Macaca mulatta: one gene and its partners. The protein of the gene in region 2 interacts with the protein of the main gene of each other region in a biochemical or structural test. Links are inferred from orthologs where the notes say so. Each region holds a gene or a part of one and is shown on either strand. Other genes may lie near its edges.

What was found.
Region 1: of the proteins of RIPK1 (region 2) and BIRC3, one has a biochemical effect on the other in vitro, tested with the Homo sapiens proteins (5 studies listed by BioGRID, with this or other methods). The link is inferred for Macaca mulatta from reciprocal best matches to the Homo sapiens genes RIPK1 and BIRC3.
Region 3: the proteins of RIPK1 (region 2) and CRADD form a complex in vitro, tested with the Homo sapiens proteins (2 studies listed by BioGRID). The link is inferred for Macaca mulatta from reciprocal best matches to the Homo sapiens genes RIPK1 and CRADD.
Region 4: of the proteins of RIPK1 (region 2) and OTUD1, one has a biochemical effect on the other in vitro, tested with the Homo sapiens proteins (2 studies listed by BioGRID). The link is inferred for Macaca mulatta from reciprocal best matches to the Homo sapiens genes RIPK1 and OTUD1.

Annotation. Positions count from the first base shown.
Region 1 is NC_133419.1:103,188,094-103,192,230, reverse strand, and holds the start of BIRC3 (baculoviral IAP repeat-containing protein 3), read right to left. Parts: upstream 2,888-4,137; 5' UTR 2,773-2,887; intron 1-2,772. UniProt on the Homo sapiens protein: Multi-functional protein which regulates not only caspases and apoptosis, but also modulates inflammatory signaling and immunity, mitogenic kinase signaling and cell proliferation, as well as cell invasion and metastasis.
Region 2 is NC_133409.1:180,192,718-180,196,931, reverse strand, and holds the start of RIPK1 (receptor-interacting serine/threonine-protein kinase 1), read left to right. Parts: upstream 1-1,394; coding exon 1,395-1,652; exon of another isoform or gene 1,653-1,735; intron 1,736-1,852; exon of another isoform or gene 1,853-1,986; coding exon 1,987-2,002; exon of another isoform or gene 2,003-2,175; intron 2,176-2,382; exon of another isoform or gene 2,383-4,214. Other genes in the region: uncharacterized protein LOC144340588, read right to left, coding at 857-1,396. UniProt on the Homo sapiens protein: Serine-threonine kinase which is a key regulator of TNF-mediated apoptosis, necroptosis and inflammatory pathways.
Region 3 is NC_133416.1:100,999,349-101,003,674, reverse strand, and holds the start of CRADD (death domain-containing protein CRADD), read right to left. Parts: upstream 2,820-4,326; 5' UTR 2,724-2,819; intron 1,430-2,723; 5' UTR 1,424-1,429; coding exon 1,126-1,423; intron 1-1,125. UniProt on the Homo sapiens protein: Adapter protein that associates with PIDD1 and the caspase CASP2 to form the PIDDosome, a complex that activates CASP2 and triggers apoptosis.
Region 4 is NC_133414.1:24,895,056-24,899,292, reverse strand, and holds the start of OTUD1 (OTU domain-containing protein 1), read right to left. Parts: upstream 2,858-4,237; 5' UTR 2,461-2,857; coding exon 1,018-2,460; 3' UTR 1-1,017. UniProt on the Homo sapiens protein: Deubiquitinating enzyme that specifically hydrolyzes 'Lys-63'-linked polyubiquitin to monoubiquitin.

The DNA of each region.
Region 1 (4,137 bases), on a different chromosome or scaffold from region 2:
AAAAAAGAAAGAAAGAAAGAAAAAAGAAAAAGAAAGACTCAGAGTTTTTCTCATTTATATCACCTCCATTTGAGTTTGCAAACCCCTTACACAAATCTTATCCTAAAGAAGCTTTAGGTCAGGCGTGGTGGCTCACGCCTGTAATCCCAGCACTTTGGGAGGCCAAGGCAAGCAGATGACTTGAGATCAGGAGTTTGAGACCAGGCTGGCCAACATGGTGAAACCCTGTCTCTACTAAAAATACAAAAAAAATTCGTCAGGTGTGGTGGCACGCACCTGTAGTTCCAGCTACTCAGGAGACTGAGGTAGGAGAATCACTTGAACCCAGAAGGTGGAGGTTGCAGTGAGCCAAGATCATGCCACTGCACTCCAGCAAGGTATATATTTGTGGAAATTCAGGCAACAACTATACAATAAATATACAAAAATATGCCAAGATGTCAACCCCAGATCACTTCAGCCTCTGTCCTAACAATTTCCAACACCTAGATGCAGCCCTGCAGACTGGGACCAGCATCACTTAAGACTCCTTTGCCACCCCTTAGCAATTCCTTTTCGCCCTGCTCAGCCCCCTAGCCCACTGCCCTATGCACCCTTCTAAACCTTCAACACCTTCCTCAGATTTCTCCACTGCACTCCATCTCATTTTCAGTCCATTGCTTTGCCTTCTATTTCTCAAAGAAAAGAGATATCATTGAGCAGGAACCGCCTCACATTCTCATATCCAAGCCTTTTTGGCTCACAACCTACTTGCTGCCTCAGTTAAAGACTTGCCCCCTTATGGGATCCTAAACTCTCCTACTGCCTCAGAAGTCTTGTTCTTAATCCCATCTCCCTCATTGCGTCAACTCTCATTCCTCTCACTCTCAACTGGCCCTTTTCCTTCCACATAACAACCATGCTTAAATCTATCTCAACTCTCAAATGAAAGAAATTTTTAAAATTCTCTTTCGGCCAGGTGCGGTGGCTCATGCCTGTAATGCCAGCGCTTCAGGAGGCTGAGGCGGGTGGATCACAAGGTCAGGAGATCAAGGCCATCCTGGCTAACACGGTGAAACCCCATCTCTACTAAAAAGAAATGCAAAAAATTAGCCAGGCATGGTGGCGTGCACCTTTACTACCAACTACTTGGGAGGCTGAGGAAGGAGAATCGCTTGAACCCAGGAGGCAGAGGTTGCAGTGAGCTGAGACTGCGCCACTGTACTCCAGCCTGGGTGACACAGTGAGACTCCGTCTAAAAAAAAAAAAAAAATCCCCTTTCAACCCCACTTCCCACTGTAGCAACTACCCTGTATCGCCCCTTCCCTTCATAGCCAAGCAAACTGGACATGTGTGTACGGTTAATGTCTCCATTTTCCCTCTCCCATTTACTCATTAAGTCAGCATCACTTAAAACTGCTCTCAGTATTAATAACACCAATGGTTTTTTTGCCAAAACAAATGGAAATGTTTGCATCTGACGTTGGGGCACACTTCCTCTTAGAAATGTCCCATTCCCTGGGCTTCTCTGATACCAAGCTCTTGGGATTCTTCTTTCATTTCTAGTGGCTCCTTCTCAGATTGGCTCAGTCCCCAACCTTTCGTCTTCTGACTCTTCCATTTAACCTACCAAGAAAGCAACCTCCCCAATCCCAGGGCTGTTGGGCATCCCTACCCTTTGGGCACGCGGCACATCCATTTCTATGACACTGGAGGGCAAGTGTGCCTTTTCTTTCTGCCTCCCCCTAGACAGTAAGGTATTTTAGAACCGCAGCTATTAATATGTTTCATCTCTGTACCTGCCCTCCCACTCATAGCATCTGCAGAGCTTGGCATACAGGGTAGACACAAAGACTTCCCGTTGAAGGAATAAATGTTAGCAAATGTGACTGAGCCCCGAGTGACCACAGTACTTCTATCAATTTTACATTAATGACCACAGAGTCTACTCAGTGATTGATTAGGATCAGGCTTTGGAGTCAGACATCTGGGGTGCTCAGTACCAAGCAGCCCGGTAACCAGAAGCATGACGTTGCACAAGTAAATCTCCAAGAGCCTCAGTTTCCTCACTGTCAAATGGAGATAATTCTGCTCCTTAAGATTATGATAATTAAACGTGAAAAATACATGTAAATTCTTCAGAGAGAAACCTAGCATATAGCAGGTAGCAGTACTTAATGTTAGCAATACATAATAGCAAATAAAGTCAATAGTTAATATTATTGTTACGTTAGCATCAGGTACATGCCTTCGACACTGTATTGATCAGAGTAAGAGCACTTCTGGGTTTCCATGCTGATCACCAGGAAGACAACCAAAAACTGCTGTCTTCCTACCACAGGTTGGAAACATGCCTCCATTTGCTCATTAAACACTTTACTTCCTTCCTGTGCCAGAGCTCTGTGTTAGGCTCGGTCCTGAAATTTATTTGGCACCTGCAAAGGCCCAGTGATAACTCTTGGCAACCGAATCAAAATGACACAGCTGCACAATTCCACTGGCTCACTCCAAAGGTAAAATAGAAATTGAGCACCTGGAACCTATCTAGAGCCTGCCTTTGGGCCCTGACGTTTGATAACTGCGCCCCACCCACTGACTCTCAACCTCTGCAGCGCTCTAGCCCTGAGCACCCCTCGGCCACCCGCTGGCACACCTCTTACCCCAGGGGAGGCGCGCGCGCGCACGCACACACACAAACACACAAGCACACAGCAGCCTTCCTCGCCCACCTGCTGCCCGCGCGCACACACACACACACACACACGCACGCACACCCCAGCCTTCCTCGCCCACCTGCTGCCTAGAGGCCGACGACGCATGCACCAGCAAGGACAAGCCCAGTCTTTTCAAGCGACACCTGTCGCCCGGCCTGTTCCGTGCGGAGGGCGCGAGTCTCACGCTGTCCTTTAAATGCGTCACCCAAATCCCCACCCCTACCCGTAGCAGGCGTTCCGCACTCCTCCCAGTGGTTTGCATGTGCACTGGTGCTTTCCTTTTAGGACTTAGGGGAACTCCAGGGGTAATAACCACAGACACTTCCTCTTAATCAGTGGCCTGGCAAACCCGCTCGGGGATTTCCATGACCCAAAAGCATGACTTTTAACCGTGGCCTATCTGCGCGGCATTTACTGAAAGACATTTGCTTCATTGCTCGTGGGCCAGAGGAAATCTTGATAACAACCCATACAGAGAGGACGGTCATTGCTCAGCCTGCCTGGAAAAGGTCAATATGCCCTATTCACCCTCCATCTGCCATACACTTTACACGTAAAAAGGTTCGGGTTTTCAATCTTCTACTATAGCTGCAGAAGTCCAGCATTAAAAAAAAAAATTCGAAACTTTGTGAAATCTTTCTATTTATTTTTACTTTTTGTTCTGATCAAGAAAGTAAGAGGTGAAAGGAAATGTAGGGGTATGTGAAAAAAATCATGCAGTTCTCCTTTGCAGTTTATTTTTACCATTTTAAAGATTGAAATTGCTTTATTAATTTTCTGTATTGAAATACTTTTTGTTTTGTTTGGTGAGTTTTGGGTTGTTGTTTTTTTTAATAAGTATGGTGGAGTTGGCTACTTAAAAAAATCCCTCCTTTATAGCCTTTGATTTCACAGGGCAGGTGTCTGAGTTGCAGTGCCATTCTCAGGGAAACCTGACATCTTCGAGTCTAACTGCACTGCCATATTTTCCTCAACGTTCTCTAAGTAGTAACTTTAAGCAACTTTATCTGAGAGCCATCCATACCAGGGTAAGAGATGGATTTGGGAGAGCTCATCTGATTTTCTGTCTTCCAGTAGATCAAAGACAGTTACCAACCAGAGGCAGAGCCCATAAAGATTATTTGGTCCTTCATCATTCTGTGGAAACAGCATCCAGTGCATTCTGCACACAATGGACTGAGCTGAGGCATCTTCTGGTTTAGGTGGACTTGGCTGTCCATAGCAACTGAAGTTCCAGTTGGAATTATTTCAGAAAGACTAAGTGTATTTATCATATGGAGACTTTAATCCACATTTGAGTCTGCTTCAATCAAGACTTTCTAAGCCATTTTCAACTCACTCCTGAGATTATGGAAAATAATTTGTGGGCCTTACACATTTTTGATTATGTACTCACCAGAAGAATTTCAAAAAGCTCTGCATTCCCTTGCCCATTTTTAACTTA
Region 2 (4,214 bases):
AAAATTGAAGGAGGCTCTGATTCTCAGGGCCACGCAAATGCAGGGCTGGCACCTATGAGTGTGGCCCTCCTGAAATGTTGTGCCTTAGGCACCTGGCTCTCCCTAATTCAGGCCCTCAGGAGAAAGCCCTAATTCTGGTCAGTTCGCAACAGGAGGACACGGCTTCTGGGAGACACTCGGTGCTCCAGAGAGAGGCATTTGGTCCGTTCTCTTCCTCTGGACGTCACCGTGCCGACATGAAATGCTTCCAATTGCGTCCAGCCTAGGATGGAGCGGGGTGGGGGGGATATCTGGTGACATTACGAACTGCTGCATCAACTCCCCCGAGTCCCTGCCTCTGGACCCCCGAGAGAGGACACAAGGAGTGTCCGGAGCCCATGTGACTCAGTGTCTCTTCCCATCACTTCGCGGGAAAATGGGGCTGCTTACACCGCACCGCAGCCCAAGCACCTGTGGCTGGAGAGGGGCTCGGGCGCCAGGAGTGAGGAGCCTGGTTCTGGGCCCGGGACCGGTACTAGTTAGTGGTGGGACCTGGAACAAATGGTACTAGTTAGTGGTGGGACCTGGAACAAATGGTACTAGGTAGTGGTGGGACCTGGAACAAATGGTACTAGTTAGTGGTGGGACCTGGAACTAATGCTTTGCTTCTAAGTGAATCCCTCATATTCATGACAAGAGGCGTGGAACACAGACCCATGGGGCCTTCCCACTGGAACATGGAGCTTGGCTGTCACCCGACTTCGCTTCCTGAGGTAGAAAAGCCCAGGGTTCCAGGCTCTGTCTCCTTTCCCGCAGACCCCTTGTTTCTTGGCGCGGAGGCCCTGGGCCCCGCAGGCTCCCACCCACTTCTCTGGGCTCAGAACTTCTCTGGGTTCAGAACCCGATCCCGAAGCGGCCATGGTGCTGCCGGTGGCCGAGGCCGGGCGCGCGCCTTGGGAACCTGGCTGGCCTCAGGCTGGCGGGAGCATTCGCGGACCTCGCCCTGGGCCGGGAGGACTGGGGGACCCTGGCCTGCCCCTTCCCCTAGCCCTGACCTCGGCCACCACGCGCTGGTCCCGCCAGGCTCCGCCTGAAGGCAGAAAGCGGGGCGGGGGGGGGGGGGCGCCCGATCCTGCGGTATAAAAGCGGTGTCCGCAAAGGCCCTAGTGGGAGTCCGCGGCGAGCGCAGCAGCAGGGCCGGGTCCTGCGCCTCCGGGATCGGCGTCCAGGCTCGGAGCGCGGCACGGAAACGGCGGCGGCGCTGGACCAGGCGGTAGGTGCGGGCGTCCCCGCGCAGGGCGCTGCGGGTGGCGAGGCTGGGTGCGCGCCTCGGGAACCTGGCTGACCTCAGACCGGCGGGAACATTCGCGGACTTCGCCCTGGGCGGGGCGAACTGGGGGGACCCTGACCTTCCCATGTTCCTAGCCCTGCCCTCCGCCACCGCGCGAACGCGCGCGCCTCCCAGGATAGTCCCGGCAGGCGCAGCCCCAGTCAGGCGGCTTGTCAAGTATGGGAGGAGCCTAACAATCCCAGACAGTTTAAAAGGCGGTGCCCGCCAAGGCCCGAGCGGGAGTCCGCGGCGACAGCAGCAGCAGCAGCAGCAGCAGAGTCACGTCTTGGGCCCTGGGGATCGGCGTCCAGGCTCGGAGCGCGGCACGGAGACGAGGTGGCAGGTGAGGGCGTCCCCGCGCTGGGCCGGGGTCGGGAACGGGAATGGCGAGCTTCAGGTCCCCCGGCTGCCACCGAAAGATGAGACCTGAGGACAGGAGAGGTCGCTCATCCAAGAGCCCCGGGGAAGCGGTGGTGTCTCGGCGGGTCAGGAACGGTCTCTGGGGGGTCCCCTGCAGCGCGCAGCCGGTTTCCGCCTCCGCAGCTCCCCGCCAGCGCGGACGCCGCCCTCCCCCACGCCTCCTCGCTGCCCTTCTCTGGCCGAAGCTCTCCCCTGCAGCCCCTCCCCACCTGCCAGCCCTGTTTTCTCACTGCTCCTCTCTGCTCTGGGATCCGCAGGATGACGTCTGTCCCGGTACTTCTCTTTCAAAGTCACCAGTCTCCAGTTCCAAATCCGAGCACTCTTACCCATCCTAATTCTTTCAATAATTCAGCGAAACGGATGGGGCCCGTCCTTCCCCGGAGCATATTTCCAGGGACTGTGAATCCGCGAAGCCAGGCTCAGCCGTCGCCTGCAGGGCCTGCGGTCTGTGGGGACCGCCAGCAAGATGAGGAGTCACCTTCGGGACGAACGGTCGTGCTGGGGAGGGTTGCGCCGGCGGGGTCAAGGGAACCTCCTTTAGGGTGGGAATCAAGCCTCCAGGCCGCGGTGTTTGAGGGTGAGTAGAATTAATCCCGTGATGGACATGGGGCCTTGTAAGGGGGACCAGGAGTTTGTGAAGAGGTGACTTTGGGAGGGGTTCAGGATGGCCAGAGGTGGAGGCTGTGACCTGAGCGAGGCTGGATCAAGGGAGGGGGCAGGTGGAGAAGAAACCGTTTTAACAAGGTGGCTTTGAGCGGATCCTAAGGGTTCTGGGAGATTTAGGAGGAAGGCCAAGAGGATTAAGACACCGCTTTCTGAGGATGTTGTGTGGCTGTGGCATGGTGGTGGCTGAGGGAAGCGGGTTGTCTTCATTGTCCAAGGCTCTCCAGTGCTTTGCGTGGCGTTTTGGGGAGCACACATGAGGTGTCCCGACAGTGAGGAGTGGCTCTAAGGTGAGCAGAGGCTCGGGAGGGGGCCTGCGCATTAGGCCAGGCACAGGATCCGAAGTGGAAAGAAATGTGGGCGAAATGTGGGCGTAGAGGGCAGGCCTTGGGGATGGGTGTGGGGGACGAGGGGGATGGAAAGGGGTCAGGGAGGTCTCCCAGGCTCACCTGGAGGAGTGAGGGTCTCATTTCCAAGGGCACTGGGAACTGCAGCCTGGGGGTGGGGGTTCATTTGGTTTCAGACCTGTGGCGAAGAGACCCACCCCCTCACATTCACACTTTGGCTTCCACTAGCTTCAGAGGTAGTACTAGCTCTTTGTTCTCGCTGGTTTTCCTTCCTCACCTTGGGCTGTTTCTTGCCTTTTCCATTCTGGTGTTCTGCAAGGACCAGTTCCTTCGTCTCATGTACCATCTACACTCATGGCTTTTGCTGGGAGTAATGAGTAAAGCTCCCAAATAGATGTTTCTGAGTTAGAGCACTGAAAACAAAATGAAGCAAAAACAATGCATTTCCAATCTTCCAAGATCACATGATGTCCAGAGGACAGTGATGGGCAATGACTTTTTGTCTTCCCCATTAGAATGCAAGTTCCACAAATGGAACACGGAGATTTTTATTTATTTATCCTTTTTTTTTTTTGAGACGGAGTCTTGCTCTGTCACCCAGGCTGGAGTGCAGTGGTGCAATCTTGGCTCACAGCAACCTCCACCTTCTGGGTTCAAGCAATTCTCCCACCTCAGCCTCCTGAGTAGGTGGGTCTACAGGTGTGCGCCACCACGCCCAGCTAATTTTTGTATTTTTAGCTTCATCATGTTTGCCAGGCTGGTCCGTAACCCCTGAGCTCAGGCAATCCACCCGACTGAGCCTCCCGAAGTGCTAGGATTACAGGTGGGAGCCACTCCACACAGCCAGAACAGAGATTTTTTATGTTTAATTCACAACCGAGGCTTCACTGCCTAGAACAGATGCTCAGTAAATATTTATTGAAGGAATGAATTCCTTTTTGTATCTCTTGTATCTATCACCAGATACTCTTGTATCTAGTACCTATTTGGCATACAGTAGAAAGCTTTGTTGAGTGAATAGCTCTGCCTTTCGTCTTTTTTGGTATGTATACATCTTTTAAAAAATAATGAATAGACTTTTAGAGCTGTTTTAGTTTACAGCAAAACAAAGCAGAAAGAAAATATCCCCTCCCACAAACATCCTGGACTGTATAGCCTCCCCTACCATCAACATCCTGCATTAGTGTGGGGTATTTGTTACACCTGATGAACCAACATAGATACACGGTTATAAAAATGAACCAATATGGATAAAACATATACATTATCAGTCAAAGTCCAGAGCTTGTTAGGTTTTGCTCTTTGTGTATATTCAAGATACATTTGACAAATGTATAATGAGATGTACCCAACACTGTAATATCAGATTCCACTGCCCTAAAAATCCCTTGTGCTCCACCTACCTATCCCTCCTTCCCTGCAAATCCCTGGCAACCACTAATCTTTTTTACTATCTCCACAGTTTTTCCTTTTCC
Region 3 (4,326 bases), on a different chromosome or scaffold from region 2:
AGTCCAGTTCTCTGCCCCTCCATCTTTGTAAAACAGAGTCAAGGGAAGTTAAGAAGAAGCAAGTGTTTCCATATCACATCTTCTTCCTGCTACAAGCCAGGCTAACAGAACCAGAACTGTTTCTCTCTTCTCCAGCTTCCAATTCTCCTTCAAATTAAACTGAGACCCTCCCCAAACTATTGCTCTTTGCAAAATTAAATACTCCGGTGTCTGAACAAAAGCTAAACTAAAAAGGACACTTTAAACGAATAACCTTTAAAAACAAACTAAGTCAGCCTTCAAAATAATCCCCTTTGGCCACATGGGACAGCCCAGGGGACAGGTACAGGGCTTTCCTTCCTAGAGGCTGTCTCCTACTCCATGAATCTGACCTTTTCCAGCTGGTAGCTCTGGCACCTCACAAATCACTTGTCAGTAGGCCGAATGCCTGCTTTCCCATCTGCACTTTCCAAATGGTTCCTGATGCCAACGGCTGAGATATGACCTGACTCTCTGATGAGAACATGCTTCCCAAGTGACATGCCAGGTTTCCCTGGAAGCATTTCTAAATGCATTCTCTGAGCTCCCTCCCTCACCTCCCAGTCACGGTTCATTCTTCCTTCCCTGCACTTCCTAATGCCACCTCCTGATCCTATGCCTCTAATGTCATGTCCCTTCAGTCCCAACTCCTTACCCACTTTCATCAACCGTTGACCCTTGTCCTGCCTTACATCCCAACTTCAAATCCAAAGGGCGGAGTTCTGGCTAGGTGTGGTGGCTCACGCCTGTAATCCCAGCACTTTGGGAGGCTGAGGTGGGTGGATCACCTGAGGTAAGGAGTTCGAGACCAGCCTGGCCAACATGGTGAAACCTCATCTCTACTAAAAATATAAAAATTAGCAGGGCGTGGTGGCGTAAGTCTGTATTCCCAGCAACTCGGGAGGCGAAGGCAAGTGAATTGCTTGAACCCAGGAAGCAGGGGTTGCTGTGAGCCGAGATCACGCCTAGCGAGATCACTGCACTCCAGCCTGGGTGACAGAGCAAGACTCTGTTTCAAAAACAAACAAACAAATAAACAAACCAAAAAGCAAAGGGCATAATTACAACATTTTGGAGCTGGTTTGAAGTGATCTTTCTGAGGCCTACCTGCAGGTAGGTCGGTCATGGCCTCTTTCCTTGCCTTCTTCAGCTTCTCCCTGACCCAGGGAAACTCCTGTAGGGAATCTAGGAATGTATCGAATGCTTTAGGGCCCCTGGAAGGTAGGATATCCAGCAGGAGCATTGTTTTCCGGAGGCCTGTGGTTTGAGCATTGATTTCTTGAACATGGTTTTCCGTCAAGATTCCCTCCTGGTAGAGGTACTGAAGAACCAGTCCCTCCACCAACACCTCTGCACCCAGCTCCAGGCGAAGTGAGCGGAGTACTTGCTTGTCTCTGGCCTCCATTTCTCCCTGGAAAGAGCCGAAATCACAGCTCAAATTACAGACACGCTGATGTGGCCCGAAAGACAGTGTCACTGCAATGTAAGTTCCTTCAGGTCAGGCATATCTTCAAACCGTGGCAGAGTGCCAGGTCATGGTATTTAATTCACGAGTTAAGCCAAGCCAAGTTAACTTTGAATGTTTCCTAACATAATGAACAACACTGAAGATGAATCATCTTTTCTGTTCCTGCTTTTCACACAGTGGGGTCCCAGCTCAATTCCTCGTTCAATAAAGAAATTTGGAAAAAGAAAAAAAAAAAAAGTGGGTCAGAGACCCTTCCGAAAAAGCAATTTTTATCTGAAGATTACAGAGCAGCATTAATTTTAACATGCTGGAGAAGAAATCGTGGTTTTATTTTAACATTGCCCTCATCAGACCTGCACCACCACCACCACCACGGCAGAAACTGCCAAAGTGGGCGCAGGTGTCCCTTTTTTGATCACAAGTATTTGCAAAACCTGATCAGTAACAGGAGTGCAGGACAGAAATCAGCAGGAACAGAGTTTAAGGCTCTTTTCGTTAAAAGTCCTCTACACCATCACCTTTAAGAAAATTGTTGTTTGTGCCCAGTCTACAATAAACCTTACACAATATATAGTCACAGACTCCATTCCTTCCCACTAAGAATTCCGAATCTCCAGCACAACACTGTCGTGGCCACACATGCATGGGACATTTTATGGGATTTTTTTTCTTTAAAACACCCCAGCGCCGGTCAGTAGCCAGGCACAATTTGAAGGTGCATTTCCACCACCCCTGCACCCATGTGCTGTGGCTTGGTTGTGTGTAAGGCAGTGAAGGTCAAGTGACCGGGAAGGCAGGTAGGGATGACATATGCGGCTTCAGATACACCCGGGCAGTACGACCACGGCTGGGCGACACCCGATCCCACACTCCCCCTCGCAACCCTGCAAAGTTTAGGAGGTGACAGGTGAGGAGGGGGAGGTGTTCACATTTGGCGGTGAGCGCCCATTGGGAACTTTTTAAAAAGTCTCTGCCTCGGCCGCTGAAATCCTTGTATCAAACAGGAAGACTACGGGCGGTTTCTGCCGCAATTTGACCCGCTAAAGAGGGAGTGCTGGGAATGAACTTAACAGCGGATCAAGGGGAGAGCGGGCCTCCGGCACTACCGCAGCCACCCAGCCTTGGCCCGGATCGGAAATGCAGAGCAAGTTAGTGGGGCGGGGAAGCCCCCGCAGGGCCCAGGTCGCAGACGCTACAATGCAGGGCTTTCAAGAAAAAATGGATTCCTGTTACTTACGTCTGCAACCACGTATCTTTGGGGCGGGGGAGAAAAACTGCAACCGGAATCCTGACTGTTAGGGAATCTGCCCCATAAGCACCATCTTTGTTAAAGGCGAAAACACAGGAAGTGTTGACACCATCTTTGTTGAGGGCAAGCACAGGAAGTGCTGTCGCCATTTTTATTGAGCGTTCAAGGGTCGGATCGAAGCTCTTCCCGCCATGTTTACTGTGGGTAAACAATTCAATCACGGGGAGGTGGACAACAGTAGCGTCACTTAGAGGGTATCTAAGTAATGGAGTCATTGAATCATTGCATTTTAACACAGTAACTACACCAGGGCCCTACACACAATTGACATAACAGAGAGGCAGGTCAAAAGTCACCCTGGTAGAGACGCCTTCTCTGACCTGATTAAAACGGCAACACAGCTGCACTCATCTCCTGCACTCCCCATTCCCTTAACCAGCTTTATTTTTTACGTATCACCATATTATTAAAACTTTTTACTTATTCACTTGTTTATCCCTCTGCTTCCCTCCATTAAAATGCAAGGTATTTATTTATATCAAGGGTTCCTGTCCGCAAAAAGTTTACAAATCTGTCAGTCAGAATTTCATTACAGCACTCAGCTAGCTACTCCTAGTCAAAAAGGGATTTGTCAGGGGGAATTCGGGACATTTGAAATGATTGGAAAGACTGGAGAAGGGCTGAACATCCATGAATGACTACAAAGATAAGATTGCCATACTGGCTCCTGTCCACAATCAGGAAGATGGCATCAGGAAGTTGCCATGCCTCGTCCCCAACCTCTCAACACCGACAGAACAATTAACAGGACACTGGAACACTGCTGCAAAAAACCGTGGTCTCCACGGCTGCATTTGCCAGCAGCATGAAAACAGCACCTGCAAATATTGCTCTGCTGCGTGCAATTGGTGAGATCAATTTCACATGCAGAATATTAGCAGCAAGGATGTCTAGAGCATGTAGTTTATAGCTTTCCAGCTTGAGAAACACAAAAAGGTGTAGTAAACGAGGGAAGGGCTGATACTAAAGGCCTATCTATTGCATCCACCACATTTTCAATTTGGAAAGCAAGAAAAAATGCATGACCCAAATAGAAACACAGAAATGCCAAGTTGGGTGTCCTTCCTCACATTCCTTTGTGAAGTGAGGCAGTCGATCAATAAATACATTCATTGATTCATTTTTAAATCAATTGGATGATACATACAAAAAGTCATATGCTTACTAAAAATTAGTTGACAATACAGGGGGAAAAACTCCTGAAATATTGTTTCTGCAAAGGTTTTCATAGCCAAAACCTTTGGTGGGAAATGAAAATATCTTTGTAAGCAAATCAATGGAGAACAGTTCTGAAACTCTCTCCTCAAAACCTTCTAAAAATTGTATCCACTGTACAGTGTTACTATGCCAGTTACCATTTTACTACACCATTAATGACAGTATTTTTACCTATGTGGCAAGTATTATTATTACAGTCATGCATTGCATAACAATATTTGGGTCAATGACAGACTGCATATATGATAGTGGTCAGAGCAATAGGCTATGCTGTATGGCCTAAGTATGTAGTAGGCTATACCATCTAGTTTTG
Region 4 (4,237 bases), on a different chromosome or scaffold from region 2:
CTGTTTACAGACATTTCTACATTAATACAGGGCAATCCTATTTCACCTTCTGAAAGAATGTAAAAGAAATATTAAGACAGTGTTCTCCTGCTCTAACTGCCAAGGGTGGCTCCAGACATTTATGCCATTAGTTTATAAATCTCTTAGTTGGATCCAAGAAGTTAAAGCAGGAGGCTTATCTTGTCACAGAGTTTTATACCATATTAACATTCTCTTTATAACAAAATAACAAATGTCAATAAAAACAATTGAGAGCACCAGACGATCTACTCTACATATCAACCAGGGTACAGAATAACCATTCTGCCATCAGCAAATATCAGACTTTCATTCAAGTAAGACCTGGTACTATCCCTTAAAACAGGAAAAAAAAGAAAAAAAACACCTTCCCACAACCTTCCATTAGATAATTTTCTTTAAAAGATTCACCATTTCTAGAAAAATAATGATTTCCAAAACAACAGCTCTGTTTCATCAAAATGGAATGGGCCAAACATCTGGTAACAAGAATGTTTCAATATCCATTTGAAATAATTATCTAAGAATTGTGAAATTCAAATTTCAACAACATAAAATAACTACCAAATCACAAATTCTGTTCAAAATAATACATTTCATATAAAGCACTTCTCTGGATTTATGCCTGAACACATCATAGATGAAGGTACACCAGTTTTTAAAAATGTTGTGCAAAAATACATTTTTATAGAAAATAGACTACCAGGAATGAACAAATTTACACTGTGAGAAATCAGCTTGCAAATTAAGTAGTGCTCACTTTATACAGCAAATTATAAATAGCAATAAAATCACCCAAAGCTATCATGAAACATCATTTAGGTGGCCCAGCAACCTTCAGCTCCGAGAAAACATTCAAAAAGATGATTAAGGCATTACACCTACAATAAAATCTACTAGCAAGTTTGAAAGTGCTATTACCCTGATTAGAGTTCATGTGATTCTCCAAACACAAGTTATGTATGCAATTATTCCCAGGGTGTAAGGTTTTGAGACATTTCAAGAGCATGCATTTTGTTCAATATACATTTTGGATAGGGATATGGCCATAGATTTGGCAAGTTCTTCGTCGCGTTTCCTTTGCACTTGAGTTTGTTTGCACCAGTTGTCGTACTCTGGGTTAGGATAGGAGTGATCAAATACAGCATCATAGTGTCCGTTACTGAGCCAACTGAGCCAAATACTAGGCCTCAGGGAATCCTCTGGGCCCAAATAATGAATCATAGTAGACACCGTGGGGCTCTCCAGCCTCCCTCCAGTAGTTAAGTGGATATTCACATTCAGCATCTGCCCCATGGCCAGCAATTCCGGGTACCCAGCCCATGCCCCGTCTTGGGCAGCAGCGATGATAAACTCCCCCACGTCGCCCTCAATCAGGGGGCTGAAGTGGTCGAGATGGTCGGCGATATAGTGCACCGTCTGCTCCCTCAGCTCCCGGTGCAGGCTCTGGTCCCCATACACCGTCTTGCTGACAGCTCGGTAGAGGCAGTTGCCGTCGGGAATGATGTGGAATCGGTACTTATTCCTCTGCCGCAAGTACTTGTCCTGCTTCTCCACCTCGGCCAGGTACAGGGCCAGCTTCTCGTCTCTGGGATCTGACCTGGAGACGATCACCGGCTCCGCCGCGCTGCTCGGGGCGGTCTCGATGCTCCGGGCTGGGGGTGCCTCGGCCTCTGGGTCGGGCCTCCGCGCCGCGTCCCCACCGGGAGCGTCGCAGCGGTCGCCGCCCCTCTCCCAGCCCCTAGGGCCCCTTTCCACCAAATGCTCTTCGCCCCACGGACCGGGGTCGGGGCTCCCCGGGGTCGGCGCGGGGCCTCGGTGCTTGGCGGCGGCCAAGGCCTGGCGGTGCTCGCTCAGTCGGAAGTTCCGATCGGGCCCCTCCCGTGTCGCGTCCAAGCCCGCGGACTCGGGGCAGTCGGGCCGCAGCAGCTCCTCCAGGAGCCAGGCCGAGGAGCCCCGCCGCGGCGGGACCGGGGCTGCGGGCGCTGGGGCCAGCAGGAGGCAGCGGCCGCGCGGGGCAGCGGCGGAGCCCGCGGTGCCGGGAGCGGGCTCGGGCCCGTGCAGCAGGAGCCTGTCGGCGCCCAGGGCCCGCACGGTGATCTGCGCGGTGGACGTGTAGTGCGGCGGCAGCGGCGGCTTGCAGGACGCGCCAGGCGGGCCGGCGGCGGCAGAGGCGGGCGCGGCGGCCCCGGACACCACCTCGAAGCAGGAGGAGAAGGCGGGCATCTTGGCGGCGGGGACAGCGGCGGCTTCACGGTGCTCGGCGGCCGCGGCGGGCTGGCACTCACCGGTCTCGGGCTCGGGCGCGGCGCCGGCGGCTCCCGGGGGCTGCAGCGAGACCTTGAAGGTGGGGGCGGCGGCGGCGGGTGGCGCGGGGGCGGCGGCCGTGGGACCCGGTGACCCGGAGGGGTAGTGGGTGCAGACGCTGCTGTAGAGCTGCATGTCCCTGCCCGCCGCTCGGCCCCTTATAGGCGCGGCGAGCCCCGGAGCGGGGGACACACCCTCCGGGCCCGGGGGAGGGGGCCGGCGGAGCGCGGTGACCCAACGGCCCCAGAATAGAGATGAGCGCAAGGCCGCTGGCCGCCGCGCGTCAGCAGCCGCGAATAGCGCCCGGGTCCCGGCCAAATTCCTGCTGCGCCACAGCGTGGGGGGGGCGGGGACGGGACGCGAGCTCGACTCCTGCCGGTGCGCTCAGCCCGCAGACCCGGGGCGTCGCGCCCGCTGCAGCTGCTCCGGCCTGCGGCGGCCGCTGGGGACTCACGGAGGAAGCCGCCCGCCTCGTTGGAGCGCGTCCTGCCGGCGAGGAGGAGCGCGGTGCGCGCGGAGGCCCGGGAGGCGGGGCCGCGGTTGTTTACCTCAGGCCTCGCGGCCGCGTCACGTGGACTCGCTGGAATGCGCGGCTTGTCTCGGCGCCCGATTCAGCCGCGTCGGCTCGCCCCGCCCACTCCGGCCCGCGCCCCGCCCCCTGCTCCGCTCCGCCGACGTCACGGGCGTGGCCCTCGTCGCGCGCGCGGGCGGGGCGAGGCCGGGGGCTCGGAGGCCTGAGCAGTCCGGGAATTCCTGGCTGGGCCTCCCGCCCACGTGACTCCCGCAGACCGCTTCCCCGACCTGGGCACGGGTTTCTGCGCTGCACCACTCTCCGCAGCGGCTGCAGTGGGTGCTGCGGGATGGGCGCTTCTTGGAGCGAGTTAGCATGCTCGGAAAGCTTGCTTGGCAGGAAAGCTTCTGGCATGGGTGTGGAGAACAGAATGCTGTTTGGCCTCTGCATGGTCATGGGCTACCATCCCTCCTTGCATCCACTACTGCCTCTTTTATCTTTTTAGAGATGAGGGTCTCACCTATCTCCAAAGCTGGAGTGTAGTGGCGCAGTCCATAGCTCACTGAAGCTTTGACCTCCCGGACTCAAGCGATCCGCCCACCTCAACCCAGGTGTGCACCACCGCCCCCGGCTAATTTTTTTTTTTTTTTTTTAAGGCGAGGGTCTCACTATTACAGTTGCCCAGTCTGGTATCGAACTACTGGCCTCAAGTTGTTTCCCGCCTTGACCTCCCAAAGTGTTGGGATTACAGGCCCTAGCCACCAATCCTGGCACCACGAGTCTTTTCCTCTTTTTTTTTTTTTTTCTTTTCCTTTTTAAGGCAAGGTCTTGCTCTGCCTTCCAGGCTGACTGCAGTGGCGCCATCATGCCCCACTGCGACCTCCACCTCCGAGGTCCAAGCGATCCCCCTTCCTCAGCCTTGCCTTGGGCAGGGATTACAGGTGCCCAGCTAGTTTTACCACTGCGTCTTTTCTATGCACTTCCTTGGACCCACCTGTTAAGGGTGAGTCCTCTAGTGGATTCTCCTGCCCTGCGAAGACAAAACCAACTTTTCTGCACCTCTGACCTATGTCACTTGGCAAATACCTGCTTGGGCGAAAGCAAGGAAGCCTTTTAGCCCTTTATAAACAGCCTTTCTCAGAATACCAAATGCAGTATCACCTAGGGCCTTTTGAAAATAGATGCGATTGCTAGCCAGAGGTCAAAAGCGGTAGAGAAAGTCGTGACCTGCCTTCTGGGGCAAGATAGGCTATAGAAAATACTTCTACCGAGCCTTTTTGTAATACCCACCTTTGTAAGGGAAAGCCAGAGGTAGTGGGAGACTTTTGCTGTATTCTGAGCTTTGATCAAATGCTAAATTAACAGGCTCCAAACATTCAAATTGAACCTAGAGGTTGTCCT